Neurospora crassa OR74A: one gene and its partners. The main gene of each other region encodes a partner of the protein of the gene in region 3 in a complex. Links are inferred from orthologs where the notes say so. Each region holds a gene or a part of one and is shown on either strand. Other genes may lie near its edges.

Region 1 (10,096 bases), on a different chromosome or scaffold from region 3:
TTTTGGTAATGTTGGTGGCGATGATCCCCGGATTAGACATGCTGGGAGCCTGACGCTCCTCGAACAAAAAATTGCGGTCGTTGTTTGCGAGTGATAGAGTGAGCAGTTCTGATTGTGGTGGTGGTGGCACCAAGGAGGTCAGTGAGATGTCATTACAATGTTATAGCGGGGTTGTTGCCCAACGTGGTGTGGTAGTGGTGGTGCCGTTGTTGAAATATTTGAAATTTTGGGAATTGTAGCGAAAGAAACAAACCTCTTTGAACTGCAGCTTGGTGGTCGTCTGGGATCATGGTCTTGTGTTTTTTTTTTTTTTCTTTTTACAAGAGCTATGGATGGGCTCCCGTAGGAAAGGTAATTAGTATGCACTTGAGATGAACATTTGTTTGTTTGTGGTTAGGTGAGTGGAGGAAGTCGGGTGATGTTTGGCTCTGTTAGGGGAGGAACCTGAGTCTGTGCCTGGCTGCCCGGACTTCTTTGCTGGTAGCGTCCGTGAGCCCGAATGTTAACGACCGACTCCCCTTTCGGGTACATACCTACCTAGAGGTAAGCTTCCTCACTTTCCGCTTGTCAGTGGGTTGATGAGGCTGCTAAGAAATGACAAACAATTCTTTATTGATCACATTTTCTATTTTTAAGAACCCAATCTTTCAACTCAACTGGCTTCGTCGAATAAGCGCCTACCGTATTTTGCATATCATGCAATGAAGCCCAAAGAGGCAATGAGACGCTGTACTTCAGGGAAAGGAATCCCTTGTGCAACATCTACGACTCTCGGACCTGTTACCTCTGTCAATGAGCGGCACACCCATTCTAACACTTTTTCAAGTTCATTTATATGTCACTCAGATTCACTTCCAACCAGTCACACCCAGTTCACAAAGTAAATGCCAATAAACCGTCTATTGAGTTTCTCTTCCTCGCTCCCCCAATATGTTTGATGATACAGGTCATACGTCTTCGGGCTTAGTGACACTCGGCAGGAGGTGAGGATTTGAGTGCCATGCGGGAGCGATTCGCGATATGACCCTATTTCTCTCATCTCCCGGTCCACCACTACACCACCATTCCTAGCACATCGTCACGGTGTGTTGGTTGTGTGTGTGTCGATCCGCTTAAGAAGAGGGAACGGAGGTGGCGTTCTCGGCGGCGGCGGCAGCGTTGGCGGAGCTGAGGTTGACGGTCTCGCCAGGCTTGCCGTTCTGTAGTTTGGAAAGAGAGGGGGTGTGATTAGCTTCTCTTTCGTGTTGTTTACGTCCAGTGCCGGTGTCCATCCATCTTCATGATTTTTTTTCTCTCCGTCTCCTCACTCGTGACATTCCCCCCTCCTCTTTCTTCTTCTCTTGTCTGATTGTTCCCCGATAGCCAAAAGACAAAAAGATTATTACGTACCGACCACTTAGCGAACTTGACCTCGGCAGCCTCGCCACGACGCTCAGCAATGATTCTCTTATCCTCCTTGAGGGAGCGACGGAGCGCACGAGAGGCGACCGCGAGGTAGCGGTTGTAGCTGTAATTTTCGTGAACCGTGTTAGCCTTCGTTGTCTTGTAGTACTGTTTTCTCTCGTCCGGTCCCCTCTGCTATGTTCCCCCCTCTTGCCCTGCTCCTGATCCTCGTGTGTTGCTCATTCCGTGCGCTATCTGGTGATTGTAGTGCGTATGTCTGTCGTAGCTCTGGATGAATGCTGGCCTGCTTTGTTGCTTCGAAGTCGTCGTTACGCATCGCTTGCTCGCTTTCCGGTGTTTTTGTCGCATTCGGGCCCGTCTCTCCATGTCATGGACATTCGGCGCTTTTCTCGACCAAGTGTGTCGTGTATTATCTCTCTCCTTGATCTCCCTCAATGTTTCCCTGGGTCCTGCTGTCGTCCATGACCTGGGGTTATCTCCGTCCTCTTTCTCTCCCAGTCTTTCTCATTCCACCTGTTGTAGGTCGCCCGTAGATTGTCGTCCATCGATCGTATTTCAAGTCGCGGGGCAATTACAACCCCAGATTTCGGCGCATGTAATCGTTGTAATCTCTGTTGTCGAGCTCGTTCGTGGGTAGGCAGGCTCGTTGGTCCCATCATCCTCCTCCATCCTTCTCTCTCTCTCTCTCTCTCTCTCTCTGTCGCGGCAATTCTGGTCTTCTTCCTCCCACACTTCCGATAAACTGCCCTATTTGCCCTGCCTCTCCCCGTCCCCAAGCCAATAAAAACGAAAAGACAAGATACTCACGTAATGCCAGCGGCCTTCCAAGCGAACACCATGTTGGGCGAAGATTGTGGGGTGGGTGGGTGGGTGTTGTCTTGACGGTGAAACGAAGAAAGACTTGTTGCTGTCTGCTGCTTGCTGCTTGCTGCGGTACTTGCTTGCGCGCGATTCGGTTCACTCTCGACTCGACAAAACTGGTCCCCACCCTGGCACACCCATCCACCCAATCCACATCCAACACCAGGGAACCCGAGAAGCTCCGCTGCCCGAAGCTCCGTCGTGTGTCACGTGATGCCCCTCCTTTTTTTTTGTCTTCAGTTGTGACCCCAACTCCCCCAACTGAGACGCCGCCCCAAGCTTCCTTCCATGCCATGCAGTGACGGAACAGGAGCTACGGGCGCCCGCCGCCGCCGCCGCCAGGGCAAGCTCGGCAGCTTACCTAACAAGGTCAAAAGTAAACATCGACCCCTGATACCTATTTTGAATGGACCTGTGTGATTGATGTTTGACATTGAATGTGCTATCGCATTTGTAAACTTTCAAATGAGCTCAAGCATTCTCGTCTCTTCCAAACTACTTATCTTCGCCGTAAAACTCACTAGCATATCTCATCTCATTCCTTAAGCTTGACATTTCACCCTCGTTTGTAACAGGTATCCAATGTCAACAAAAGAAATAATGCCTGCTGCATTTTGTGTTTTATAGCTCTGCTAGAGAAGTAGTGGCGAGGAATGATAAAAAGTCTAGAGGTTTGTATATGCACAAAAAGTCGTCGGTCCCCAGCCGTTCGTTCTTCATCTCCCGCTTCACAACGAGAAAGGTCTACAACACACTTCATCCCGGCCGGTTTTGCTGTTGGTACACGGTTTTGGTTTTTGTCTCCCAACCCTGGCGTCTTCTCAAAAAAGTATCCACGCCTTTCCAGTTTCAATCGGTTCGTTTCGCTGCGTTTAGGTATTTCCTCTTTCAATTAACTACGAATTGCACAACCCGCTCTGCGCCCCCAAAGTCTAGTCTACGTCTATACCTTGAGACCGAGATCCTCAGCATAGGGAAGGACGTGGAGGTCACCGACGGCGGAAACGGAAGCCTTGCCCTCAAGGAGCTTCTTGGCAGCCTGTTGAACGTTTGTTAGCATATCTTTTTTTTCTTTTCCAACTTCTTGTAGGTTCACACATACAGCCTGGAGCTTCTCAGCGGTAACGCCCTCAAGAGCCTTGAGGGTCTCGGCAACCTGGATGGGCTTGCCACCGGCAAGAAGGTTGGCACCGGCGTGGACGAGGCCAGTGCCGGAAACCTCGCTGGCGGAGAGGAGGTTGAACTTGGCCTTGGCGATAGCCTTGGTGAGGTCCTCCTTGGAGACACCACCGGCAGCGATGGCCTTGAGACCCTTGACGGCCTCGACGGCGACCTTGCCGACGGCGGCACCCTTGCCGGTGATCTGGATGGCGAGGAGACCAGCATCGGAGTAGGCGTAGTTGTGAGCAAAGGCCTCGGCGCCGGGGTTGGCGGCGGTGGCCTTGGCGAGGAGGCTGAAACCGGGGGACCACTTGATGTTGGAGACACCGCCGAGGAGACCGACGAGGACGGAAGTCTCGGGGTGGGGGACGCCAAGGGAAGCACCGGGGAAGGCAATGACGATGGCGTTCTTGCCGTTCTTGGCAACGCGCTGCTCACCACCAAAGTACTTGGAGGCGGCAGTGTTCAGGTTGCCGGAGCTGGTGGCGGGAACACCCTTGAAGAAGGGCTCAACCCACTTCTCGAGACCGGCCTGGCTGGCACCATCGGCGACAACGGCGATGTTGGCCTTGTTGTAGGCGAGGTTGGCGAAGGCGGCGACCGAGTTCTCGTTGAGGTAGGACGAGGTAGGGGTGTCGACGGTAGGGTAGAGGGGAGAACCGAGGCCGCTGTGGAAGGCGACGTTGTGGGCGGCATCGAGGGCGATGGCGGCAGAGTCGAGCTTGGCCTGCTTCTCGTGGATGCAGTTCTCGACGAGCTCGTGGAACTCGTGGGCTATGGGGCGGCAAGGCAACAACAACAACTGTCAACAACAGCCATCTTTTGGTTTCGTGGGAGGGAAGGTATTATCACGCACTGGTGTACTTGGTCTCAGAGATGACCTCGGCAAGGAGCTCGGTGAAGTAGGGGAGGTCCTCGCGGAGGAAGGAGGCCTGGAGGACGACGGCCTCGCGCGTGTGGTAGGCCTGCAATTGGCCGCCGAGGAGCTCGGACTCGCGGGTGATGCGGAGGGCGGTTCTCTTGTTGGTGTTCTGTGTACCTCGCCAAGGTGTGCCAATTATTAGCTCATGGGCGTCTTCTCTCTCTCTCATGGTCCGGATGCGGTGGACCGGGGACCTGCCTTGAACGCAAACTCCTCCAGACCGACGGTCAGACCGGGAAGGGGCTCGTAACGGGTACCGGCCTTTGCGACGACGGCGAGGCGGGTGGTCGGGCCGGAGTCGTCGCGCGAGGCAACCTTGACGCCGGCGATGGTGGTGGGTTCGTATGACGCCGCGGGAGAAGCAGCAGCAGCAGCAAAGCCGCGCTGGGCCGTCTTCGCAGCGGCCGGGCGGCGAAGGGCCAGCTGGCTTCCCCTCGAGAGAGCCGATCGGGAGATCATGGTTGGAGGGGTCGATGTCGTCCAATTGACGGTTCTAGATGATTGCGCAGCGAGCACTGCTTGGGAGGACTGAGCTTCACGTAGTCTCTCTCAGTATACTTAGTGTAGCAATTCCGACTCCGAAAATTCCCTGGCACCAGCGCCCCAGTTGCCGGGCTGCACGTGCACCGGCAGCTGCCCAGTCCGGGCACAGACCACTGCCCAGCTGCAGACCACTGCCAGGCCCGCCCGGCGCTGAGGCTCCCAAGGCGTGAACACCCGGCCACGCACGAGTCGGGAGCCGCACGACGGGCTGGCACAGGCCATCACCCAGCGGTCTCAGTGGTCAGCAGTGAAACACAGCTCATCATTGGGCGCGAAGCAGCAGCAAGGGAATCAAATGCCCCGCGATCCGCTGAAGACAACGACGACGGAAGCCAAGAAGATGTGGATATAAGTACATTACCTACACTACCTACCTGTAGATACCTATAAGCCCATCACAGGCCGGATGAACGACCCCTTCCAAGGATGGAAGCTTCTTTTATCAGATGGAAGTTTCCGGATTCGGGTTCGGTGAGGACAAGGTGACAAGGCTGTTTCATCTTTAAAAGCATCATGATCTGGGTCAGTTTGCCGGGCGGATGGATTTCTTCATGTCGTTCACTTGCACGACTCGACTCAACGGGACCTGGGATTGCCGTCGGGGCAACTCTGGAAAAGTGGGTTGGGCTTAGGTACTTGTACTGACAAAGGCAAAGGTGGAGGTACGTACCTCTAGCTCCTGCACATAAGGTACACTACACTACAACGTACGTACGGGTGGACGGGACCCCAGGGGCTAGGTACCTAGCGCGGTCTGGCGCGCCCATAGCGATTGACGCGCGGACCTGGAGAGTCCCTGCCGCCGCCGCGCATGCGACTCGGAAAAAAAAATAATTTGGAGCATTTTGTCATTCGGTTTTCCCCGCCGTCTGTCGAACACTATTCACCACCAAACTGTTGCAGGCGCATTGCATTTACTTTGCGCATCTCTCACAGAATACTAGAACAGCCAGCACCAGGTAGTCCCCCACCACGCATGCAAAACTGACTCTCTGAGTGTCAAATGTCAATTTAATATATAATTTCACGACTCCACCGCCCTCTTCTTTTCTTCCCCCACCAAACCCTGGAGATCTCCCATGCCATCATATCGGTAGTAACCGCAGAAGCTCTAGAGATAGTGAGAGGATCTCTAGGAGCCACATCTTCTTCAAATCCTAGGTTGCTATAGCACCGACACCAACGGCAACAAACATCATCTGATAGCCCACCATGGCAGTTGTACGTACTCGTCCTTCATTCCTCTTCGTTGCTCTCTTCTGACCAATGACCACCACAGATCAAAGAAAAGGCAGAGTGCTGCACTCTTCTTGTCGACGAGCTCTACGGCCAACTCCCCGCAGTAGGTTTCACCACCACCAATGCCGATCCGGAGTACGCACATCGATACTGACACCTCCCCCAGAGAGTCTATGCGACTCTTTTCCAACGAGGAAAGCTCTCGGTCCGCCTCATCAGCCAGTTCTCCAAACTCAGCGCCCGCCAAGTCAAAAATGGTCTTTGCGTCCTCCAACAACACAACCTCCTCTTCTACTCCGTCGACGCCAATTCGGGCGAGGCCGAATACTCGGTAAATCACGAATATGCCTACAACCTCGTGCGCACCGGCAAGATCCTCGAAATGGTGGACAACAGCTACGGCCCCGCCGGCCGCGACGTCATGCAGAATCTCCTGCTCCTCGGACAGACCCGAATCTCCGACTTGGTGGCCGCCTACCAGGCCAAGATCAACGAGGTCAACAACGATGACGCATGGCTGAACGACAAGAAACCCGAGCTCGCGATCAAGAGCAAAGCGCAACTCAACTCGGTGCTTTGCCGACTCATTGAGGCCGAGTTGATCGATGTCATTCACAGCAAGACCTTCCAGAGCGCCCACGAAATTGAGAAGCAAGTCCACAGAGAGGTCATGGACGTGTACTTTTCCAACGGCATCAAGGGCACCAAGGCCAAGATTGAGTTTGAACAGAGAGTGGCTGAGGGCCTTCGCAAGGTGCGCGAGGAGTCCAAGACTCTTAAGCGCAAGCTGGCTCAGAATGGAGGCGCAAGCAAGCGAAGGAAGCTGGCTGTTGGAAACGAGACAAATGGGGCTCCTGAAGAAGAGGAGGACTTGGATCCGGCGTTGGACGTAGGTTATTTCCCATGGGACAAGGGTCCACTCGGTGTTACTAACTTGCCATTTCCTCCAGCCCCGACAAGTCATCCGCATCAACTACGAAAAGTGCATAGTGGAACTACGCAGCCGCCGCCTTGTCCAATATGTCAACGAGACCCTCGGAGAGACGACAGGATACGTTTACGGTCAACTGCTCAAGCAATTGACCAAAAACATTTCGCGCTGCAAATCAGACCCGCTCATAGACGCGTTGACGCCGGAAGAGAAGGTGACGCCCTCGGTCACAACAAACGAGATTCTTGATAAGGTCAAGACCTCGATTGATCTCACACTCGGAATCGGCAAGATCCCGAGCAAGTCCATTTCGAAATCGGCTGCGGAGAGACTCACTCCTTTAGCGCCCAAGGACAAGATTCCCTTTATGAATCAAGACGATAGCGACGATGACGAAGAGGATGGTGATTACAGCGACAGCGACGAAGAGATGGACACCAAGAAGGAAAATGGGGACGCGCCGGTCGCTAGGATGAGCCGACCTGAGCAGCTGCGGCAACATCTCCTGCTGTTGGCCGAGGGCCACCCAGGCTTTGTGCGTCACTGTGGAGAGGATGAGTGGACGGTCGACTTTAAGCCTCTAATGGAGAATCTCCGGGCGACAGAACTCGACTCGATCATCGAGCAGACCAGCGGTCGCCAGGGCCTCAGGTTGATACGCATCCTCCGCACGAAGGGCAAGCTAGGGGAGCAAGCGCTCCAGTCTCTCAGCTTGATGCGCAAGGTGGACCTTCAACAAAAGATGCTGGAGATGCGTCTTGTGGGCTTTGCGCATACGCAAGAAGTGCCGCGCGACAACAAGGCCGACCCGAAAAAGTCCATCTTCCTCTGGTACTGTGACACGGAGCAAGCGTACAGCAGCCTGATTGCCAAATGCTACGCAACCATGGTGCACTGCCTGCAGGTGCTGGAGGTGCGGCGGCAAAAGGACAAGGACGTGTTGTCGCTGGCGAAGCGGACCAACGTCAAGGGCAAGGAGAAGGATATGATGCGTGACGAGTCGTACGCGAGGTTTGCCAAGTTCTTGAAGGACGAGAGGTTGCTGATGGCGGAGATGATGCGGATTGATGATACCTTGGCTCTTTTACAGGACTATTAACTCTTTGAAGACGAGAATGTCATGATCTGAGCGTTTTCAGCATATGGACAACAAAAACATGGTCATCATTATGAGTTCAGTCATCTAGAATACACTAAGAATGACATGTGCGATCACGGTGTTCCCCTTTGCTGGTGCCAAACACTCGGGTGACGCTTGTTTGTTAGCTGAAGACTTTGGATCAATCTTCCAATGCGTTTTATGTCTGACCAATGCGTGATCTGGTTCGAATAGGATATTTCGGATAAGTACTTGAAATGTTGGGATATATACAGTATTTTAGTTAGTGTAGTGTAAGCTTCATAAGTAACAAACAAACCAGCATCGGACTGTCGGTGGTTCAGATAAGGCTGGCGCTAGTGTTCGATAAGCCCCGGATTGGCTGAACCAATACTAGCGTGCCTTGGCTTGGCAAGGGTTGCACTCGTAAATCCCGCTGTCGGAGCTCGTTAGCGCGAGAAATTTCGCAGCTTGCGGTGCTGCGCTTGGGGGACGCCGCGGACGAGGAGAAAAAAAAAAAAAAAAGTTTCAAAAAAATTCGGTCGTTGAGTTCCGACGACTCGAGACCCCGTCAACCAAAGGCATCATCATCCTAGTGACCTACTGGACCTGGGCTACCTGAGTGACTCCAACCGTTCCCCCACTCAGTCCAGTCCAGTCCAGTCCAGTCCCCGTCCCCGTTCCTCGTCCGAGGTGGTACCTTGCTCGCCGTACTGTGTCGTGTGTTTTCTTATCTTCCGGTCCCCGTCCCGTCCCGTCTTCCCTCCCTTTCTCTCTCTCTCTCTCTGTGACTGTGGTCTGCTTGTGATTCATTTCCGTCCCGCCGTCGTGATTCCCTTTCTCTTCCCAATTTCCCTCGTCTCCTCGAGTCCGATCTTCTGCAATCCTTTTTCGCCAGTTTCCCTCCCCGCACACACGCACTGCTGCAGCTTTAATTCCCTTATAACCCCTCACACAGCGGTTATACATCCCGTCTTTTTTTTTTTTAATCTTTAAAACACCAAACCACAACAAACAACCAAAACAAAATGTCTCCCGTTGCTGCTGGTCGTTCGGAGAAGGAGTCCAACCTGGCTAGGTTGCTGGGATCCGGTATGTCTTTCTACTGTCTGCAATGACGGATGACGTCTGTTCTGTCAACGCTGTTTGGGGAAAACATGTTGCTGATTCCTTGGGTGTGTGATGTAGGCTCTGCTGGTATCGCCGAGTTGGCCATCTTCCATCCTGTATGTTTTCACGGGTACCACTATAACACTGGTCACTTTCGTTGTCACCGGTCCCTCTCGAAGTCTCTTGTCCAGAGAAGTCCGGGCGAGAAGGAAGGAAGCTCTCGAAGCTCTCGAAGCTCCATGCCATGCTACCGAGACAGGCCAATGGCTGACCTAGCAGCTTTGGTTTACCGCATTGGTGATCTGGATTGGTAGCTGGCTGGAGCTGTCCTCCTCTACAGGATGAACAGGACGAAAAGCAAAGAGAGGGACAACACACGTAACAAGAAAGTGCGAATATCACGAGCACCCTACTGACCTTGCTGGTTACAATAGGTCGATACCATCGCTAAGCGTCTGATGTCCAACGAGACCAAGGTTCGTAGCTTTCCTTCCACCTCCAATCAATTGCTTAAAGCAACACCTTGATGACTACTTTCAAAACCCTCCCACTGACTCACGTCTGCCCAGATCTCCAACACCGCCGAGCTTAACAAGGTCATCTTCAAGAACAAGGCCGAGGCCCCCTTCGGTCGCAAGTTCGTCTCCCTCTTCCCCGGTCTCGGCTACGCCGCCGGCTACAAGGTTCTCCAGCGCATCTACAAGTACGGCGGCCAGCCCGTTGCCCGCGACTTCCTCGGCACCCACTACGGCAAGGACTTTGAGAACGCCTTTGGCAAGAAGACGGGCAAGGCCATCATGCACTCGACGGCCGGCTCGCTCATTGG
Region 2 (9,259 bases), on a different chromosome or scaffold from region 3:
GCGCTTCGGGAGGGACGCCCATGTGGTCGGCGACTTGGGCTGATCTTGGGCTAGCAGAGGAGTCTTCTCGTCGGGATCGTAGTGCTGTCCATCGTATCCCCCTTGTGCAGCCGACTCCTTGTCCTCGGGCTCTTCTGACAGTGTGTTGTTTTTGTTGGCTAGACCCAACAGCTCATCGTTGCTGCGCGGCCCATGGTGATCGTCCTCCTCTTTGCTGCTAAGATGGTGGGCTAGACTGAGTGCGCTTATAGAGTTCGATCGAGACGGGGTCGGGCTGGACGTTGGTGATACTCGGGCCGAGATGATGTTTAGGGAGTTCATCTTGCCAGCGCGGGGAAAGCCATGAAGGACGCCAATGCGAGCCGCGCCCAGTGGCAGTTGCAAACTGTGTGACGGCGACAGCGGGGACGGTGGGTTTATTCGAGCAAAGATCGATCGATGATGTATGGTAGTCAATTCCGTGCGGCCCCCTACTGTAGAACAAAAACCGTCGGACGTGGGATTGGGATTGGGCTTGGGGTGGCCTGCAGGGTACGGGAGGGGCGTTCGTTGCCCGGCCGAGGTTTGGTGTTGCGCAGCGACCGAAAGCTGTTCGGTTGCTCTGTGACGGGGAATTATTGCGGATGGCGAGGATGGTTGGACTGAAAGCCGCAAAAGAGAGCGGGCGCAGGAGAAACGAACGGTTACGTGGATATGGCTTGTTTCCCGTTAGGTTAGGTTTGTATGATTTGTTGGCCGAGATCCGGTTGGGGAACTTTTTGGGGAAGATCGAGAAGCAGCGAGCTACATACATACACTGGGGCCGGAGGAGTCTGGAGACGGGCAGCGATCCAATGTTGGGGTCAGAGCCTGGAGGTCTGGAGACTGGAGACTGGAGGTACTGTTTGGAGACTCGGGGGGTCGCGCGAAGAAGGGGCCAATGTCGTCAACCGCACGCAGTGTAATAACCTTTTCTGTAGTTCCAGAAACAATCGCTCGGTTACATACTCTTTCTTTTCTTTCTGAAGTTGTTTCCAAAAAGAGTTGCAAGTTCCATTCAGGTTGTACAAACTTGATGTTGCCTGTCGAACTTCGAACAGCGCAAGTGGTGAGATGGGACGTCCGAGGCCCGCCCAGATCTGCTTTGTCTGGACTTGGTTGGCTATCAAAAAATACGAACATGACACCCTTTTTGGGTAATCGATAGGGATCCGAGTAAAAAAAAAAAAAAGAGAGAAAAAGAAAAGGAAGGGTGGTGACCGCCCAGTTCCAAAGATCGACCTCACAGGCAAGATACAAACAAAGTCAACAACCCCGGTTTATTATAACTTCACGAAGCCCAGCACGTGCAATTAAGCACTGATAACTCCCGGCCATATCATGTATATGCGCCGCCTTTATTATCGGGGTTTCAGTTGGTGATGCCGTCGTGGTTGTGAAGAGCTCCCGTCCTGGATGTTTTTCTCTCTCTTCTCCAATTATCGAGGAGTGGCGCCCAGCTATCACAGACAACGACTTTACATACACCAGTCCAGTCCAGTCGCCAACACAACGGGACGCTAGCCGAACAGCACGGGGAAGGTAACGACTAACGAGACAACAACGGCGGCGGCTCAGTGGCTGTTCACCAGAAATAATGGGCTTCAAGACAAAAAAAAAAAAAAAAGGGCATCTCGACGGGGTTTTCCAGGGGTGCTCAACAAATGCCAGGCATTTCATCCACTGAATCCATTCACGTGTTCCTCCCGACTGACTTGACAACGAGCGGACGAGCGAGCGGGAAACCCGATCGACCTGCCTAGGCCCCCTCTCCGTCGTCGGCCATCTCGATGAATGGATGGATGGGCCATGGCGGGGTGGGGGTTCCACATCCACAATTCACAGCGCGAGCTGCTGCTGTCAGTCAACAACAACAACACTGCAGGCGACAAACTGACCTAACCACTCAACATCAGCGCCGACACAACATGGGACCTCCTTGGTTGGATCTCTTTTTGTTTGGAGGGGGATTAGCGACGCCAATTGATTAAATGTGAACCAATTTTGTTCTGGGTGTTTGTATCCTCATTATCATTCAGTCTCTCGACAATATATATGTTATATAGCTTGGAATGGTCTGTGCAAAATTAATAACACGGAACACAATTTCACATGTTCGTCTTTTCCATCTCTTCAACACATAACCCATGCTCCATGTAATCAACCCCGTCATAAAAATACTTCTATGATCTCTTTGCAAAAGCGAACAAATGGCGAGACCCTGACAGCCCAATGCAACTCAAGCGAAAGGAAAAAAAGACTATCATTAAATCATAGAATATACCAACCGAGGTTGTAGGAAAAAAAAAAGAAAAAGGGGGGGGGGGAGGGGGGGGGGGGGGGGGTTCGTTTTGCGCTTTTGGGCCACCCGTTCCTGCATTTGTTTGGTTTCTTTTCATTCATTACCCCTGAATGTTGCGTTGGTTGGGCTGATGGATGTATGGCCGGATTTCTTCACCGATCTGCTCTTTCTTCCACGAGCGTTTCTGGAAAATGCACTGCAGCTAATGACATGACTAGGCACCATACCAATAGTAGTTGAGAACTAACATGTACTTATGCCTACTTTGGAATGTTGCCCTGGAAATGCGGTCTGGAAGTTGGGGCTTAGTGCAGTGCCATTGTTTAGTTTTGAATTTGAATATAAAATGGCTTCGAACATACCTACCTCCCGTCATTGTTTACCTTGGATAGGTATCGGCATCTACGATGATGAGTTTGAAGGTGAAGTATTCACAGTCCTATTCATGGAGGTGAGAATGCTGAGCAGGGCTGGTTAGCTTGTCCCGGGAGAGGAACGGTATATGAACTAGGACGTTCGGCTTCACAGGCGTGGTGATACGTCATAAGGCCGGGCGCCGCTACAGTTTTCAGCCTTCCAGCGTCTGACATGCTTCCAGAGGCGAGAAAGAAAATCAAACTCCATGAAAGGAACCGGCTCGCTACCTCATGGTTCTCCTCGCAAGATCTAGTGCAGCCAACGAGCACCAAGCGCCGAAAAGACTGGCCTGCGGACCGGCAAGATGCACAATGATTGTACCCAAAGACAAGAGAACTGGAGCTAACCAAGGGAATGTCCGGATGATGCGTGGATAGATTAGGATCGTGACAAGGCTGGAAATCACATGCGATCTGTCGAGCCGAATGTAAACAAGAAACGACTTGGTGGTGGTGTTTCAGGTGTCGTATGAGATCCAAAACCAGCACATGCCGATACCCATAAGAGAGGTCCATGTCTTGTCTATGCCAACTCCAATTCGAACCGCGTGGGAATAAAGATGGTGATATACAGGTTAGTCTATTGAGTACTAGTTCTCTCTCTCGGGAACTGCACTCTGGTTCCGTGCCCAAGTATCGTAAAGTCCATCGCTTACTCCTCCTGGCCAGCGAACTCAGCACGACCGGCCTTCGAGTTGAGGTAGTGGTTCCTAACCAGCAGAATGCCCTGTTAGAATGTGGCACTCTCTTGAACGACGACAACAACGGTCCCTCCTTTGCCACCCCGTGATCGAAATCCCTCGGGGCTGTGGGTGGTGGTGATGCAACGTACCGCTCGATAGCCCAGTTCATGATGTAGTAGCCGGCAACAAGGGAGGGGGCCCAGTAGAGGAACTGGGAGCTGACACGTCTGAAGGTGTTGAAAACGGCGTCGTGGGCAGTGCCGGCGAGGGGGTTCTGGCGGTTAGGGCTGATACCGTAGGAGATGATGCCCCTCTGCTTCATGCCACCTGTTCGTCGGGAAGAAAAACAACATGGGTTAGATGGTCTTGTTCTGTCTCGGGGGTCGTCTCATCGGTTCGTCAAGGGTTCGGCGTGCGGGCGAGTGGGCGGGCGGTCATCAAGGTTCTTCGTCTTCTGGCTCGACCATCTGTCGTGCCCTCATATTCGCATTCCCTCCCATCCCGGTATTTCCCGTTGTTGAAGAATTGCCGTATGTTTGGTATCGGTGCATCGTCAATTGCAAAGGTTCCTACTCACCAAAGTTACCCCAGCCACCAAGGTAGCTATATCAACATGCACGTTAGCTAACATCCAGAGCTGGATCGGAGGGGGAGCCGGCGCAAAGGGAAAAGGGCGCATCGCCGGTAGCTTGTGCCATGAAGTTCCGGGCTCTTCCAAATCACAAGTGGGAAGACTGACTGGTTGTGCTTGCCGATGGGGGCACCGCCGCCGCCACCGAGCATGGTCTGAGTAGGACGCATCTTGAAATATGTGTTGTCGCGAAACGCGCTATGGGGGGTATCAATCGGGTCGTGGTGAGGACGCAGTCGTCGTAAAGGTTCGGGAAGAGCTTCGCGCGGCGTTGAACCGGGTTTGACGAAGTTCGAACTGAAATCGGTCGACAGTGAGTGGCTGGCACTTCATTTGCCAAGTGCCATGGAGCCGTCACTGGCAGTCCCGTCAGAAACCCGAGTGCTGGAGGCTCAAAAGGGATTAGCATGGAAAGGTACAAGCTACAAGTACCTTTACAGCATCATTCTCTTTCAGCCTCCTTCCGACCTGCCCGTCTGTTGAACAAAACAAGGTGCACGGACCATTAGGATAGGTATTGAATCACCATACGCAAGCACTGAAAGACATCCCCGGGCCATGCGGGGAGCTTGAGAGAGCTGGGCCTGGTCCGGGCGACGGGACATGGCACTCCACTTTTTGCAGAAGCTCCATCCATCGCAACGACTGCTGCTTACTGCTGCAACTGGGGAAGCACCACCACCACCACCACGATCCACGCCACGGTCCACGCCGTAGTGTTTGTAGTGTGATAATCCCACAGCCCACCTTGAGGTATCCCCGGAAACGACGTCCACGAATACTCTCGAGTCAGATCCCTCACCACCACATCAACCGAGTTCGATCCCTTAATCTTGATTCAAACCGATATTCACAATGGCGGCAAGAGGGTTGGACATGATCACCAAGTTCGCCATCCCGGCAACTGTTGGTGTGGCTCTTCTCCAGAACTCCATCTACGACGTCAGAGGTGGTTCGCGGGCGGTTATTTTCGACAGAGTTGCCGGTGTGAAGGACACGGTCGTCAACGAGGGCACACACTTCCTCATCCCATGGCTGCAGAAGGCCATCATCTTCGATGTTCGCACCAAGCCTCGCATCATCCCTACCACCACCGGCTCCAAGGATTTGCAGATGGTCAGCTTGACGCTCAGAGTGCTGCACCGTCCTGAGGTGCAGGCTCTGCCCAAGATTTACCAGGTGCGTTTACAAGAACTTGCCCCTTATGACGGCTACGACGGATCACAACGAACTTGAACTGACTGGAATCCCCACAGAACCTCGGCCCAGACTACGACGAGCGTGTCCTCCCCTCCATCGGCAACGAAGTACTCAAGTCCATCGTCGCCCAGTTCGACGCCGCCGAGCTCATCACGCAGCGTGAGGCCGTCTCGCAGCGCATCCGCGCCGACCTCGTCAAGCGCGCCGCCGAGTTCAACATTGCGCTCGAGGATGTTTCCATCACCCACATGACCTTTGGCAAGGAGTTCACCAAGGCCGTCGAGCAGAAGCAGATTGCGCAGCAGGATGCCGAGCGTGCGCGCTTCATCGTCGAGCGTGCCGAGCAGGAGCGCCAGGCCAACGTCATCCGCGCCGAGGGTGAAGCGGAGAGTGCAGAGACCATCAGCAAGTCTATTGCCAAGGCTGGCGATGGTTTGATCCAGATCAGAAAGATTGAGGCGTCGAGGGAGATTGCCCAGGTGTTGGCTGCCAACCCCAACGTGGCGTACCTGCCCGGAGGTGGCAAGGGGACAAATCTGTTGATGAACGTTGGCAGGGCGTAAACGGGAGCAATCAGTAAGGGAAAGAGACGAAGATGGTTCTGCAGAAAGGGGACCATGATACCTAGGCTACGGAGGTAAAGGGAGGTAATGACCAAAATGGGACTGTATTATTATGATATGAGCATTGTGTATCTTCCCCGCTTAGGCACTTGTTACAATAGGAGCATGTTTTTTGAACTTGACTTGTCTTTTGTCACTCGAGATGACATCCGATTTGATATTTTGACGGACGTGGGAATGGTGAAGGAATGGCCACTCTTTTCCTGAGGCTCCCAGTTCGGGCAGAGAAAAGTCACAACCATCCGATATAGGATTCCTGAGACGTGATATGCCTTACTAGGTGTATATTATGAAAGGTGAAAACGTTAGACACCCCAGACAGACCTCACACTCAACGCCAGGGACGCATGGATCTCGTAACGCTTAGCGGCGGTTCGGTGGACCAATGACCGAACGCAGGGGCCTCAGCTACCCGCCTCACTCACGGGCATGTTTCCCGTTTCTTGGCTCAACCTCGAATTGTCATCAACTTCATCTCAACAACACACTGAAAACACTCACAAGACATCAAAAACGAGGAGTTGAGAGGCCGGGCATCTCTAGACTATCGCTTGGCCTGTACTTGTCAGATATACTTTGTAGTATACGGTGCTCACCGCTGGCGTATGTGTTGCCCTCTGCTGGCTTTTGCATTTCATCCCTGCCTCTGCTGCCCATCTCAACTGCTGCAACCTAACTGAACCGGGCAATCTTTCAAAGACTCGGTTCATGCTGTCATCCCAAAGGTCCAACAGTTTAAACTTTGACGTTGGTCACACTCAAGGTTGACTTAACGAGAAGAGCTGGAATATAGACCCACAACCTTTACCTGCTTCTTTACGTGATTGCGCCAAAGTCCACAAGCTAACGTTCTGTAGCCTCTTCGGATCCCACGATTATCTCGGCGCTCCCTCTTTTATATCTTTAACACATTCTGCGTCAAAGTTCATTGCTTCAAAGACAAGTCGAAATCAATACCACGCTGCGTGTTACGACTATCAGGTGGATATTCGGTCTGACAACGCTGAGACTATAAAGTGAAGCAGCGAGTGAGTGCTGCGGACCCAGCCTTCCTTGTTTGCCCGATTCGTCAGCAAGTCGGTTTCACCATTTGATATCTTCGATTCACAACCTGGAAGCTCCCACCCCTTCTTGACAACGACATACAACATACCTTACCATATATCGATATCATTCAGCATCTCACCGGGGCCGACTGACAAGAGTCTCCCACCCAAGTCGGCTTCTCCCAAGTGGACATCTACTTCATCAACTTCCAGAGTTGCCTACCATAGCACGTCTTCCAGGCTTCACGCGCGAGGTCGCTAATAGACTTTCAAGATCCCGTCATCTTGTGGTTCTATTGCCCTCAAGACCGCCCTTTCGCTCCATTAGCAACACGTCTATCCAGCGCCGGGACGACTCGCAGGAAGCAAACCCGTTGGCAAACCGTGACCCCTGGCCAACCCGCGCTCAAACAATGGACACCGTTTTACAGAACTTGGGGTCAATCCCATGCCCGCATGGCGACAGATGCACTGAGTCCGGATGTCTCTTTCAACACAGCTGGAACAAGAAGCCGGCCGCTCCAGCGTCAGCCAAACACGATGGTCCGGACGCAGATGACAATCCGCGAAAGCGTCGCAAGTTGTCGACAGAGCCTACCCAGAGTACACCGCCGACAACGGCAGAGTCTTCGCAGCCCAACCCGGAGCCTGTGACGGCCAAGAAACCTGTGTCGCCCCCGCCACTGGGCCGAAAGCCAACAGTTTTGTCTGTTCAGTCAAGTCCGTCTGAGGCTCCCGCTACCCCAGCAACTAAACCGGCAGCCGTCTCATCACCCGCCAATCCAACACCCGAGAAAAGCGCCGAGAAGAAGGTGCCCATTCGGAAGGCACAAGCTTCTCGGAAGGTCGAGACACTCAACCCTCGCATGCTCAAGGGCGTGGCACCTGCTACGTTTGAGTTCCGGTTCAAAGCATTGACGATGCTGCACGAACAATTCGTCCGACTGAACAAAGAGATGGAAAAGGCGGCCGGCAAAGATGCGGAGAGCAAGAAGTTGATTTTTACTCCGCAAGAACTAATATGGCTTTCTCTGGACTTGGAGGAGAAGATTGCGATGGACAAGCCGTCCATCTACAATAATGTCATCAAAAATCGCATCATGGGCTACAAGAAGATGACGCCCAAACAATGGAAGGCAGAGCGTCTTGCAGAGATTAAGAAGGAAGAGGAACGCAAAGCCGCTGCGACTCAAGCAAGCTCCAAGAAGCAGGCCGTTCTCGGTCCTCCCAAGGAGATCAACACAGGTTTGACGCCGCAAGAAGAGATCGCCTTCCTACCCCATGTTCTCACGTCCATCACCGAACTCGCCCAACATGGATACGTCCCCAAGCCGCCATCTGAAGAGGAAATAAAAAAGGCACGCGAGGGCGTTGAGGCTGCCATGGGCTGGGAGACATGCGACCGCTGCACCAAGCGTTTCCAAGTCTTCCCCGGCCGTCGCGAAGAGGACGGCGCTCTCACCAGCGGCGGTCCCTGCACCTACCACTGGGGCCGACTCATCTACCCAGAGCGTAACCCAACCAGTACCGTCCAGCAAGAGAGGACTTACCGATGCTGCAAACAACTCGCCGGCGATTCAACCGGCTGTACAAGCTGCAGCACTCACGTCTTCACCGTCAAGTCCCCCGCCCGTCTAGCAACCATTGTGCCCTTTGTGGAAACCCCCGAGAACCCCTCCGTACCCAAGGACCGCGCCGTCTGCTTCGACTGCGAAATGTGCTACACGGTCAACGGTCTTGAACTCGTTCGCTTGACAGCAGTCAACTGGCCTGACGGCAAAGAACTCCTTGACATCCTCATCCGCCCCATGGGCGAGATCCTCGACCTCAACTCCCGCTTCTCCGGCGTCTGGCCAGAGGATCTCATCAACGCTGAGCCATGGAAACCCGTTCCTCCTCTTGACCCCGTCATCGACACCGATTCCTCCCCCAAGCCCCAAAGCACAACCAACAACCCACCAGAACCCGACCAGCGCAAAAAGATGCAAATCGTTCCTTCCCTCGCCGTCGCCCGCGACCTACTATTCAGCCTCATATCCCCCGCCACCCCGCTTATAGGCCACGGCCTGGAAAACGACCTCAACGCCATGCGCATCTGCCACCCCACGCTCATCGACACCGTTCTTCTCTTTCCGCACAAGAAGGCCCTTCCCTATCGACACGGGCTGAAGATGTTGATGGAATGGAACCTCAACAAGGCTATCCAGGTGGAACCGGATGCTGATTCCGCCGCCGATGGGACGACGGGACAGGGCGGAAAGCTACTAGGGCACGATTCAGCGGAGGACGCAAGGGCGGCGGGAGATTTGGTCAGGTTCAAGATCCAGCATACGTGGGCGA
Region 3 (10,172 bases):
AGCAGTGGTTGGAGTATCTGAGGAAGAGTGTTGCTTGAGGGGCTGGAATTCTGTGAGGGAAAGGGGATGATGGTAAGCTGAGTTATGAGTCAATGATCAGGAATACAGAATGGGTTACACCGGGGCATTTGGCATCTTAGAACTAATGGACGGATGCATGAAAGTCTTTCCTACCCAACAAGAATTCAGAATACGTCGTTTGAGAGGTGACCTATGACAAGCGAGAACGTATGGTGCCTGAAGAGCAACTGACTGGGTGATAAAAAGCCCTGCGCTCAATCAATCAGTGGACGCAACACATATATCAAAGCTGTTACACGGAGTCTATAAAGCGTATTTTGACAGGATATTGACCTCTTCTACTACTTACGACTGATACCTACAACTTAACCAACAGAGCTTGCCTCTTTTATCTTCTTTAAAGTGCAAATATGCTGGCACCGAAGAAACTGAAGCCAACCAACAAAACATCCCCGTTAAGATTCTAAGCAAGTGTAGTCATGAAGCTTTCAAACAGTGCACACTGATCACTGGATAACGAGGCACCTGGTGGTTAGTCAGCGTGAGCGTGTGTATATGGAGCAGATATTGTACATTGCAGGTGAGGTATAGAAAAAGAAAATAAGCATCTACCGCCCGGATTAACCCTTGCGTGGTTTAGAGTCTATCCTGCTTGCGACGCTCGTTTCTTGTCCTGCGCATGAGCTTCTTGTACTTCTTCTTCTTGATCTTCAGCTTCTTTTGCCTGCGCACGCTGATAGCATGCATGATCCCCTGCTGCTGGCGAGCTTCCTCATAGCGAATCTGGCGCAGGGCGAGGCGCTCCAGGAAGCTGCGCGGCTGCACAGCATCGTCCTCGACGAGTTGTGGGCTGTGCGCCATGATCTTGTACTGGCCGTTGGTATCCCTTGTCTCCTCAATCGTGACAACCGCCTTGTACACGCGCGTTTCCGGCTCCTGCTCGGCGGTGGCGGCAATCTCCTCGGCGATAGCAGCAGAGGCTTCGGCCTCCGCAGCGGCCTCGTCAACCTCAGCGATGGGCTCCGGCGGCGGAGGAGGGTTGAAGGGAAGGAAGTGGCCGGACATGGAGTTTAGCTGAAAGTAGACATCGGACTCGGTGCCGTCGGGGTGCTTCAGGCTGATCTTGGTAGAGCCGTCTTCGACATCGTTATCGGAGAGCCTAAGCCCAGACATGGGCGACTCAAGATCGTGTACGGCCTGCGACAAGGTCGAAAGGACATCGGTCGCCTTGTGTCCCTTGCGGTGGTTGAAGATCTCGGCGAATGACTCCTCGGTCACGGTCTTGGGAAGAAGTTGAGTGACTGAAATCGGCCTGTGGAGGGCGAAGAACGTTGAAAGGGCGAGCGCTAAAACGTCTTGTTAGCGACTTGACTCTAAGCCTGTGCAACAAAAGGCGCGGATAAACAAACCCTCGTCCTTGATATGCCTGGTGCTGGGCACGCTGGGGAGTGGCGGCATGACCGGCTCCTTCGCCTTGCGCTTGCGCTTCTCTCCAGGAGTCTTGGAGGTGCCGGCGGCGGGCACAGAGGCGCGGGCAGCGAAGGCCCGGGAGGAACCGTCATCGGGGCTGGACGGCTTGGAGGAAGAGTATCGTCGCTTTTGCAGGGCATTGGGCTGATAGGACGAGAGTATATAGGAGGCGCCGGCGCGAGGGGCGGACGAGGCTGCCAGAGAGGAGACAACGGGCGACTGCGGCGCGGCAGCCACAACCCGTCGAACGGATTGGGGAATCATGACCGCGATAGAGACGGAGGATTCGATGTTGAGGTGTAAGAGTACTGAATCGCAGCTGATGGATATATGCCGCCTCCGACCGGCGCAAGTTCGCTTCGCAGACCGCGGGTCGAAGAGAGGGTGCAGCAACCGAACAACCGGGGGGGAATGTGTTCGGGGGAGGGATCTGCAAATAGGAAAGGGTCAGACGGGGAGGTCAGATCAAGACAAGGCGCGACAGAACAAGGGCGGTGCTTAGGATGGTCACCGGCCCGAGTTTGCACTGGACGTCACGTTAAAGTGCCAAAAGTTCGACTGCCGTTTGGCTGAAAGGCTTTGTTGCCCCGTGCGCACTGCACCCACCTGCGCTAAAATCGATCGCCACCAACACGATAAGGCCGGGCATTGACTACCTACAGGTATGTAGCGAAGCAGAGTACGTACCCCGACATCCACTGCCCTGTCACAACTGTCTCATCTCAGGTCCGTAGAGGTACCGTGACCCCAGCTCCCGGCTCCGGTTGGTCTGTGCCACCTGCCGAAGCCCAGCCCGCGTAGAGATTCCAAGCAAAGCAGGCATTACAGCATGTGTAATCTTCATGTTACAAGGTGCCTTTTTCATAGTCTGTATACTTTCTTGTCAACACAACCGACACCTTGCTGTGTGTTCCAGACTGCGATTCAGAAATCGGCTCATGGTAACCCTTTGGATACCACCATCACAGATTTCGGCTGTAGATGAACGTGTTGCGAAAAGCCCTGGATGCGGTCTCGTCCAACTCCAGCATCGTGGCAAGTCTCTCATCGTTTAATCATGTTCTTGTCCTGCTTATCCTCTCGCCTGGAGTAAGCACGTGAAGCACAATGTCGTCAAAGATTCGCAAACCATGCCAGAAATCCGTAGTCGAGGTGGCAATCACGGCCTCTACCTCCCTCGCTTTTCCCGCCCTGCAACATACCATAGTAACCATTGGATGACCCTGACAACCGACCGAACCTGTACCGTGAAACTTGTACGCATGGAAATTGATTGCTCTATGTCTAGCCTACGACCCTAGAGTACAGATTTTGGGCTGGAATGTAACACCGATTATAATACAGAACCCGGCCCCCTTCTTGCTCCCTATCGCTTAAAAAGCGTTCCTGCTCATATCACCCCTGATACGGGCATAGTCGAACAGGCCCTCGATGCTGCCGACCGCGCTGATAGCAATGTCCTGATCCCAAATCTTCTTGTTGGCGAAATCCATAACGTCCTTGGCGGAGACGGCATCAATGATGCGCTCAATCTCGGCGGGGCTCATGCGGCGGCCGGTGGTGACGATCTGGCGACCAATATCCTCAGCAACGGCGGTGGTGCCGTCAAGGGAGAGGAGGATGGAGGCCTTGAGCTGAGCCTTCGCGCGCTCAACCTCAGCCTCGCTGACGTTGGAGCAGAGACGGGTCCACTCGCGGAGGGAGAAGTGGACAAGGTCGTCAACGCGGTCGAGCTTGTCAGTGACAAGGTAGATACCCCAGAGACTATAGTTTGCCATGTCAGTAGTTGTACGTCAGAAAGAGAAAAATGATGATAAGAGATGAATAAAAAAAAGGTGCGAAACCAAACAGGGGCGTTCTTACCCAGTGTCGCTATAGCTGGTAGAGAAGCTCATGAAGCTGGTAGCGAGGTCGTGCTTGTGAACAAAGCCGCTGAGCTTGCTGCCCTGGTGGGGAGCATTGCCAAGAGCCTTGTCGTAGTTGCCAACGATGGCCTGAGTAACGAGGCCAGTGAAGTAGTCGTCGTCGGACCAGCTGACACCCTCAACGGCAATAGCAATGTTGGCGGTGGGGATGGTATCGTCGCGGATACGGATATCAGAGCCGATGAAGTCGGGCTTCTTCTTGGAGAGGATGGAAGCGCTGCTAACAGGGGCGGTAGCAGGGAGCTTGGAGAAGTACTTGTCGGCCATCTCGACGAGCTGCTCGTGGGGGACGCCACCGGCGCCAACGAGAACCATGCGGTCGGCGGTGTAGTTGTTCTTGATGTAGTTCACGAGCTCGGTACGGGTGATGTCACGGATGTTCTCACGGGGACCGAGGATGGTGCGGCCGAGGGGCTGGTGCTGGTAGGCGGTAGCGTGGAGGTGGTCGAAGACGACCTCCTCGAGCTGCTTCTCAACCTCCTCCGACTCGCGAAGAATAACGTCGCGCTCGCGCTCGATGGCGGACTCCTCAAGCTTGGAGTTCTGAAGAATGTCCTGGAGAATGTCGACGCACTTGGGGACGTCCTCGTTGAGAGCCTTGGCAAAGTAGACAGTGTTCTCGCGCTGTGCTCGCGGGTTAGCGGGCGGCGGATGCGCCGGACGACAAGATCAGACGAACCGAGGTGTAGGCGTTGAGGTGAGCGCCCATGTTCTCAATCTCGAGCTCCAACTGTTGCTGAGTGCGCTTCGTCGTTCCCTGCGTGTCGTCGTCGAATTAACCAGATGCCCTCTCATACAATCTACCGATCCAACAACCCAACGCGCCATATCAAAGCTAACCACAGCCCGGGGAGAGGACTCGTGACTCGTGAATTCGGGGGCGTACCTTGAAGGCAAGGTGCTCGAGGAAGTGGGCGGTGCCATTGGTCTCGTCGGTCTCGGCCCTGGAACCGGCATCGATCCACATGCCAACCGTGGAGGTCTGGGCGTAGGGAGAGTACTGGGAAGCAACCTGTGATAGCAATTGACGTTAGGACAAGTCTGGAGGTGGCTTGGGGTCCGGAGCAGCAGTCGGGGAGGGAGACAGTCGGGCCGGAGGCGGGCTCGGGGGCGGGCTCGGAAGCCGGGGGAGGGGAGGGCGGGCGTCCTCACGGTCAAGCCATTCTTGAGGGTGGTGGTCTGGGTCTTGATGCCGGTGCCGCTGTGAGGAGTAGCAAGACCTCTGCGGAAAGGGTTGATAACACCCCCAGCGCGGGCCTTCACGCCCTGCGCCAGGTTGAGAGCTAGTCTCCGGGAAGCCATGGAGGTCGGTGATTTGAAGGGGGGTGGAATGAGCGGTTTGAAGGAAAGGATGCTACAGTGAGGACCTCTACTAGCTGCTCACATCAAAAAAGTCGTTAATTTTGCCTCACTTCCAAGGCCAGCTCGGGAAGGCCCGGCAACAAGAACGGGTCCGTGCACTTGCGCGAAGCCGGGTACTTGGCTTGGAAATTCAGCCATTCGATTGGCCAGGACCGATCTTTAGCCAGTGGGGAACACAAAAGCCTGTGCTAGCCCCAGTCGGAACGAGGGTTAGGGGTCAGCGACGGAGCTGGGCGTCAGGAAGCTTCCCCTCTCCCACAACAAGCGAAACATTCATCAAGGGTTTCAGCCAGCAAACAGCTCCGTGCTCCATGCCCCCAGCTCCCGTAGCTCACCACAGGCGAGAGGCAGCTCACCTGTCCGGCCCATTTCTTCCCGTCACATCGACCTCCCATGTCATTGCCAAGTCTATTTGAGGGGAGTTTGAGGTTGCATTTCATCAACTAGGCACAGAGATACCTCGACTGTGTCCGGTAGGGCTGTCTATCTACCAATTCCTTCGTTTTTCCGTTCAGAGATCGACCATCTGGTGGCACTACATACAGTACTCATCAGGTCTACAAAATCGATCCCCTCTTCGCATCTCATATCGGTCGTCTACAATCGAGCTCACTGTAACTGCTCGTATCACTACCAAGGAGATGATTCATGCTCGACTCAAGCTATGTACTGCTACTCCCTAGATTGGAATAGTCCGCAAACATCCCGATCTTTCAGCGATTCCGAGGAAGAGCTTCCTCATCCACCTCTCGTATATATCACTTACAGTTGGGAATATTCCTCCCGAGGTTCGTACCGTACGTAGTAGCCTACGGCACTACACGTGTCCTTGGGAGTTAGTGGCATCGATCGGATAGCTGCAACTAGCCCTAGCTGACTCCTATGGTCTATTCAATCCGACTTCTCACAACGAGCCCACGCCTGCTACACCTACCTATTCTTACTCTGTGCTGGCAATGTCACCTGGCTTCTTCCCTTCCTGAGTCTTATTCATCCAGGGAGGCTGAACAGGAACAACACACCTCTTGACAGACATATCATTGTTTGACATCATAACCACCCTGCATGAATTGCCCCCTACCTTCAATACAATTATTGTGTTACATCTCTCAGTCCTCCGGCTTCGTCATAGTGTATGCCACTCTTGATATCCTCTCGATCCCGCTGCCACGACCGACATCGAGCATATCGCTCATTCACCAACAGATCTCGTCCTGGAAATGTCCCCTTTCGTCGTAACCTACCCGCCTCTGGAGCAGATCACCCAATTAAAGGATACCAGTGTGACTTTTCACGCTGTGTTAGAGGTCCCCAAAACCCTTGCTCCTGGCTCGTGGCAGCTCGCGCTCTGGCATTCCACTGGTAGCTACAATGGTCGCAAGGCAAGCTGGGTCGAAACTCCCTTCGCCCCAAGTGGGCAGAGTGACTTCCCGTCGACCCTGCACGACCCTGCGGATCAGCTAATGCGCCTGCACTTTACTGTCAATTTAACCGTGCAGTCAATGTTGAACTTCACCATCAAGTTCCGCCAGGGGCCTGACCATGATTGGAGATGGGTCCGCAACGAACAGGGTCTAGGTGATGGCTACATTGTGGTGGATGTTGGAGCGCCAGAAGGCAGCGATGATGAGGACTTGCCAGATCTGATCCACGGCTTGAACCCATCTCTTAAATGGAGTTCTCATCTAAGCCAATGTCCCGGGACTCGACTCTGGACCATTGAGGTTCCCGTGGACGGGGCTAAAGACGACGATAACTCGACTTTCAGCCATGTTCCGCTCGGCATTCCTTGGGGAGGGTTTCTGAGGTAAGGATTTCGGGCCTCCTGCGATAGCCGGTGTTCACAATCTTGTCCAGGTGCTGATCAGAGCGGCAACAGGTGGTTCGCTTTGGTCAGAGACTGGTCTCCTTGGCTCGCTCCAAGACAGGGAAGATCGACTGTTGAACTAGATAAAGACGCACTACTTTGTTCGTTTCTCTCCAGCAAGGGCAAACACTTGGTCCTTTTGGGTTTCGCCGGTATCAACAATGCCGTCGATGGCATGACGCTGTTTCGCAACGACGAGTTTGGACGGGTGACCATCCATGTAGGCCTATAATCACAAGACAAGTATACAACCATCATCAACTAACCTTGATGGCCAGATTCGAAACGATAGCGCGAAAGCCGGTAGCGGTACTGTTTTAGTAGCGGTTGGCGACAACTTTGAGAGTGCCAATGCTGCTGTTATGTACCACGCTCGCGGCCTCGTCAGCACGGCTGACAGAGCTGGAGAGTCTTCTACGAAGCTGGAGAAGCTTAGTGACAATGTCGAGGCTAACTGGTACGAGAACTGGTATGATGGATTGGGCTATTGTGAGTGTGACAGTAGTCAATATGCCCATGATGCAGTCTAACATGAGTACGTAGGTACGTGGAATGCCCTTGGCCAAAGGTTGACGGCGGAAAAGGTTATAAGGGCAGTAGATGCTCTGGCCGATAACAACATCAACATCAGCAACCTGATCATCGATGACAATTGGCAAGATATTGATTACCATGGAGATCAATGGCAGCAAGGTTGGAATGATTTCGAGGCTGAACCTAAAGCCTTTCCAAATGGTCTCACAGGACTGGTCTCCGAAATACGATCCAAGCACAAGAATATCGAGCACGTTGCTGTGTGGCATGCCCTTCTAGGGTATTGGGCAGGCATAGCACCCGATGGTAATCTTGCCAAACGCTACAGGACAATCGAGGTTGTGCGAGGCGAAGATAGCTCACGTAAGAACATTCCCCTTGGCGGTAAGATGACAGTCATCGCGAAGGAGGATATCCACAAGTTCTACGATGATTTCTATCGTTTTCTCTCCGAGAGTGGTGTGGCAGGAGTCAAGACCGATGCGCAGTTCATGGTCGACACTTGGGTATCGCCAAAGGTCCGACGCGAACTCATCCAACCGTACCTAGACAACTGGCTGCTCGCATCTCTTCGGTACTTTAGCGGGAGAGCCATATCTTGCATGTCCATGTCTCCTCAGATCATCTTTCATACACAACTTCCCCGCGGACGGCCCACGATGCTTTGCAGGAACTCGGATGACTTCTTCCCCGACGTCCCATCTTCTCACCCCTGGCATGTCTGGGCAAATGCTCACAACAGCTTACTTACCCAACATCTGAACATCCTCCCAGACTGGGACATGTTCCAAACTACTGGCGCATATGCCGGCTTTCACGCCGCCGCACGTTGTGTGAGCGGCGGTCCCATTTACATTACAGATGTTCCCGGCCAGTACGACCTCGATTTGATCAAGCAGATGACCGGTGTGACGCCAAGAGGCAGGACAGTCATTTTCCGTCCCAGCGTGCTTGGTCGTAGCCTTGACCAATATGTCAACTACGATGATCTGTCTCTGCTCAAAATAAGCGCTTACAACGGCAGGGCGGTCACGGGCACTCCGATCATGGGCATCTTCAACGTATCCGGCCGTCCGCTCACAGAACTAATCCCTCTTGCCCGATTTTCGGGCGTCCTGCCATCGATGTGGTACGTGGTACGCTCTCATCAGAGTGGAAAGGTGACCGTGCCAGTTCAGACGACCTCCTCTGCCTCTCTGTTGACGGCATCTCTCGACAATGGCGGCTACGACATTCTTTCCGTCTTTCCCTTGTCACTCCACGAAACCGAGAGCAGAGGTCGTGTATACGTGGCTAGCCTGGGGCTGGTGGGAAAGATGACCGGATGCGCTGCTATGTTGAACCACAGCTCCGATCTGCTCGAGAACGGGCGGTTGTTCATAAGCACCAGGCTGAAGGCCTTGGGTGTACTAGGTGAGAAATTTCGGAACGACTTGATGAAAGCGTGACTGACGATTTACCGTGTTTAGGCATCTACATATCCCACCTTCCGGAGTTATCCATCCAAGACGAATTTATGGTCACAATTCAGGGCCAGCCCATCCCGCCTCATACGGTCACTGTCAACAGGATGGATAGCCATGTCCTCGACATTGACATAGAATCTGCATGGAAAGAGATGGGCCTCGAGGCTGGCTGGTCAAATGAAGTGGAGGTCAAAGTCTACTTGACCTTGGAGAAGTGAATGCTCCGAGCGGTCGGCGACCAGACGACAGATCAGGCTCAGGGTGTGGTGAAGCACGTCATTGTGCGCTGTACACACAACTTCCGAAAAATGAAATATTCGACTTTTGGGACCTTGAGGAACAGACCTATCCGCCCTAATGTATTCTTGTTATAGCCGATGCCTCACTTTCGCGCCGAAATCCTTGCTTGGACTCGGTGATGCTGACCATAGAAGAGGCTGTGCTTCTGGTTCCTGGCGCATTCTGTTTTCTATGCCTCATGATCTTCCGCCACCCACTCACGGTACCATCAAAAGAATGTGTCTCATGGTAGTAGGCAAAATGTGATTATTTATGACCTGCAGTTCTTCAACCTCTGATGCTCAACGATTGCAGAAAGTCCGAAATTCGGACCACCAAAGAGAACTCTCTCTTGCTGAGACTATAGTTACTAACCTTACAACGCTTAGCATCAATTGGTCCGATGGTGTAGTTGGTTATCACGTCAGTCTAACACACTGAAGGTCCCCAGATCGAGCCTGGGTCGGATCAAAAAAGATATTTTTTTTTTCAATTTGGCTCCTCCTAACCTTGTCACAATGTCTCCTATCCTTTGTCTCTTCTTTATCCTCGTTACCAAAATCTAGAGTCCCACGTTAACATCACTGTGGTCAGGTTGTCCGCATGGTCTGCTCACGACCAATGCTAAGATGCAGCCAAGAGGTTTGGTGGTTGTTACGCGCGTCGTGGAGTGGCCAAAGGAGGCTGAGCTATTGCCCAACTCGCCCAGAAAGACCGCGAAAAGACGGGATAGGAAGGTCGAAATACTGGGCTAGTCTTGGCCTATTTTCTACTGAGCAACCCTTAGGCTTTGAGAGCGAGGTTGACGATATGGAGATTGAGATGAATTAGGGATGGTGATCCGATCGATGCGTTGGTTATCTTGGACATGTCCACGACCGTTTCCACAATCGGAGCACGTGCGAAAACATGAACGTGCTGGCTTCTCTCCAAAATCTGACGAGTCCGTATCTGAATCCTTCAGGGGAATATCAGAGTTCGATACCTCACGGAAGTATTCTCACGGCAAAGGTTTCTGTCATGAAGATCCCAAGCAACCGTGGACTGTAACGTTCAGACACAGGCATGCTATGGAGTCTGAAAGCCAGAGTCTCACACACCCGTTACGTTTCGCAGAAAGATGGGGAAAAAGGCAAGCTTTGTATTCGATTTCTGCCTACTGTTTGTTATATGGGAGAAGGGAATGGAGCGGTTGAGTGTTGTATTCATGGGATTATCATTTGACTGAATCGTTCAAGAAGACGCTGT

Evidence for each region.
Region 1: the proteins of pep (region 3) and NCU03559 are in contact, whole or in part, in a cryo-EM structure (PDB 8Q1B), measured with the Schizosaccharomyces pombe proteins. The link is inferred for Neurospora crassa OR74A from reciprocal best matches to the Schizosaccharomyces pombe genes qcr1 and qcr2. Residues at the interface, in NP_595827.1 of Schizosaccharomyces pombe: Ala15, Thr16, Thr17, Ala18, Leu19, Pro20, His38, Gln42, Thr43, Glu69, His70, Phe73, Lys74, Lys82, Glu85, Leu86, Phe88, Glu89, Asn90, Thr91, Gly92, Ala93, His94, Leu95, Asn96, Ala97, His109, Ala110, Phe111, Glu146; in NP_587698.1 of Schizosaccharomyces pombe: Glu37, Thr38, Pro39, Thr40, Thr42, Lys71, Ala78, Leu79, Thr82, Arg83, Glu86, Leu87, Gly89, Gln91, Arg106, Phe107, Leu108, Glu110, Glu136, Thr140, Ile143, Pro206, Asp207, Ala275, Val276, Lys277, Trp278, Ser279, Gly281, Asn282.
Region 2: the proteins of pep (region 3) and qcr8 are in contact, whole or in part, in a cryo-EM structure (PDB 8Q1B), measured with the Schizosaccharomyces pombe proteins. The link is inferred for Neurospora crassa OR74A from reciprocal best matches to the Schizosaccharomyces pombe genes qcr1 and qcr8. Residues at the interface, in NP_595827.1 of Schizosaccharomyces pombe: Gln168, Arg246, Phe247, Val248, Gly249, Ser250, Glu251, Ile252, Arg253, Ala254, Arg255, Asp256, Asp257, Asp258, Gly341, Asp430, Glu440, Gly441, Leu443, Tyr445, Asn446, Arg449; in NP_594714.1 of Schizosaccharomyces pombe: Trp13, Trp14, Gly15, His16, Leu17, Pro20, Lys21, Gln22, Lys23, Gly24, Ile25, Ile26, Thr27, Tyr28, Ser29, Leu30, Ser31, Pro32, Phe33, Gln34.

What each region holds. Positions count from the first base shown.
Region 1 is NC_026502.1:226,245-236,340, reverse strand, and holds NCU03559 (ubiquinol-cytochrome c reductase complex core protein 2), read right to left. Parts: upstream 5,480-10,096; 5' UTR 4,808-5,479; coding exon 4,547-4,807; intron 4,458-4,546; coding exon 4,283-4,457; intron 4,201-4,282; coding exon 3,368-4,200; intron 3,305-3,367; coding exon 3,209-3,304; 3' UTR 2,730-3,208; downstream 1-2,729. Other genes in the region: NCU03557 (amino-acid N-acetyltransferase subunit Mak10), read right to left, coding at 1-108, 254-290; NCU03558 (hypothetical protein), read right to left, coding at 1,113-1,199, 1,390-1,507, 2,212-2,243; NCU03560 (DNA-directed RNA polymerase III subunit rpc-3), read left to right, coding at 6,104-6,112, 6,171-6,233, 6,297-7,019, 7,081-8,160; NCU03561 (mitochondrial carrier protein), read left to right, coding at 9,189-9,252, 9,349-9,386, 9,705-9,746, 9,840-10,096. UniProt on the Schizosaccharomyces pombe protein: Component of the ubiquinol-cytochrome c oxidoreductase, a multisubunit transmembrane complex that is part of the mitochondrial electron transport chain which drives oxidative phosphorylation.
Region 2 is NC_026505.1:5,784,563-5,793,821, reverse strand, and holds qcr8 (ubiquinol-cytochrome-c reductase chain VIII), read right to left. Parts: upstream 4,321-9,259; 5' UTR 4,221-4,320; coding exon 4,159-4,220; intron 4,023-4,158; coding exon 3,997-4,022; intron 3,747-3,996; coding exon 3,569-3,746; intron 3,447-3,568; coding exon 3,389-3,446; 3' UTR 3,082-3,388; downstream 1-3,081. Other genes in the region: NCU08948 (NIF domain-containing protein, variant), read right to left, coding at 1-321; NCU08946 (hypothetical protein), read left to right, coding at 4,906-5,229, 5,307-5,813; NCU08945 (RNA exonuclease 3), read left to right, coding at 7,333-9,259.
Region 3 is NC_026501.1:2,691,848-2,702,019, forward strand, and holds pep (ubiquinol-cytochrome-c reductase subunit beta), read right to left. Parts: upstream 4,819-10,172; 5' UTR 4,719-4,818; coding exon 4,569-4,718; intron 4,429-4,568; coding exon 4,303-4,428; intron 4,174-4,302; coding exon 4,096-4,173; intron 4,041-4,095; coding exon 3,355-4,040; intron 3,256-3,354; coding exon 2,865-3,255; 3' UTR 2,512-2,864; downstream 1-2,511. Other genes in the region: NCU02547 (hypothetical protein), read left to right, coding at 1-38; NCU02548 (hypothetical protein), read right to left, coding at 658-1,367, 1,431-1,755; NCU02550 (alpha-galactosidase), read left to right, coding at 5,999-6,585, 6,658-6,865, 6,924-7,134, 7,189-8,592, 8,649-8,863. UniProt on the Schizosaccharomyces pombe protein: Catalytic subunit of the essential mitochondrial processing protease (MPP), which cleaves the mitochondrial sequence off newly imported precursors proteins. Preferentially, cleaves after an arginine at position P2.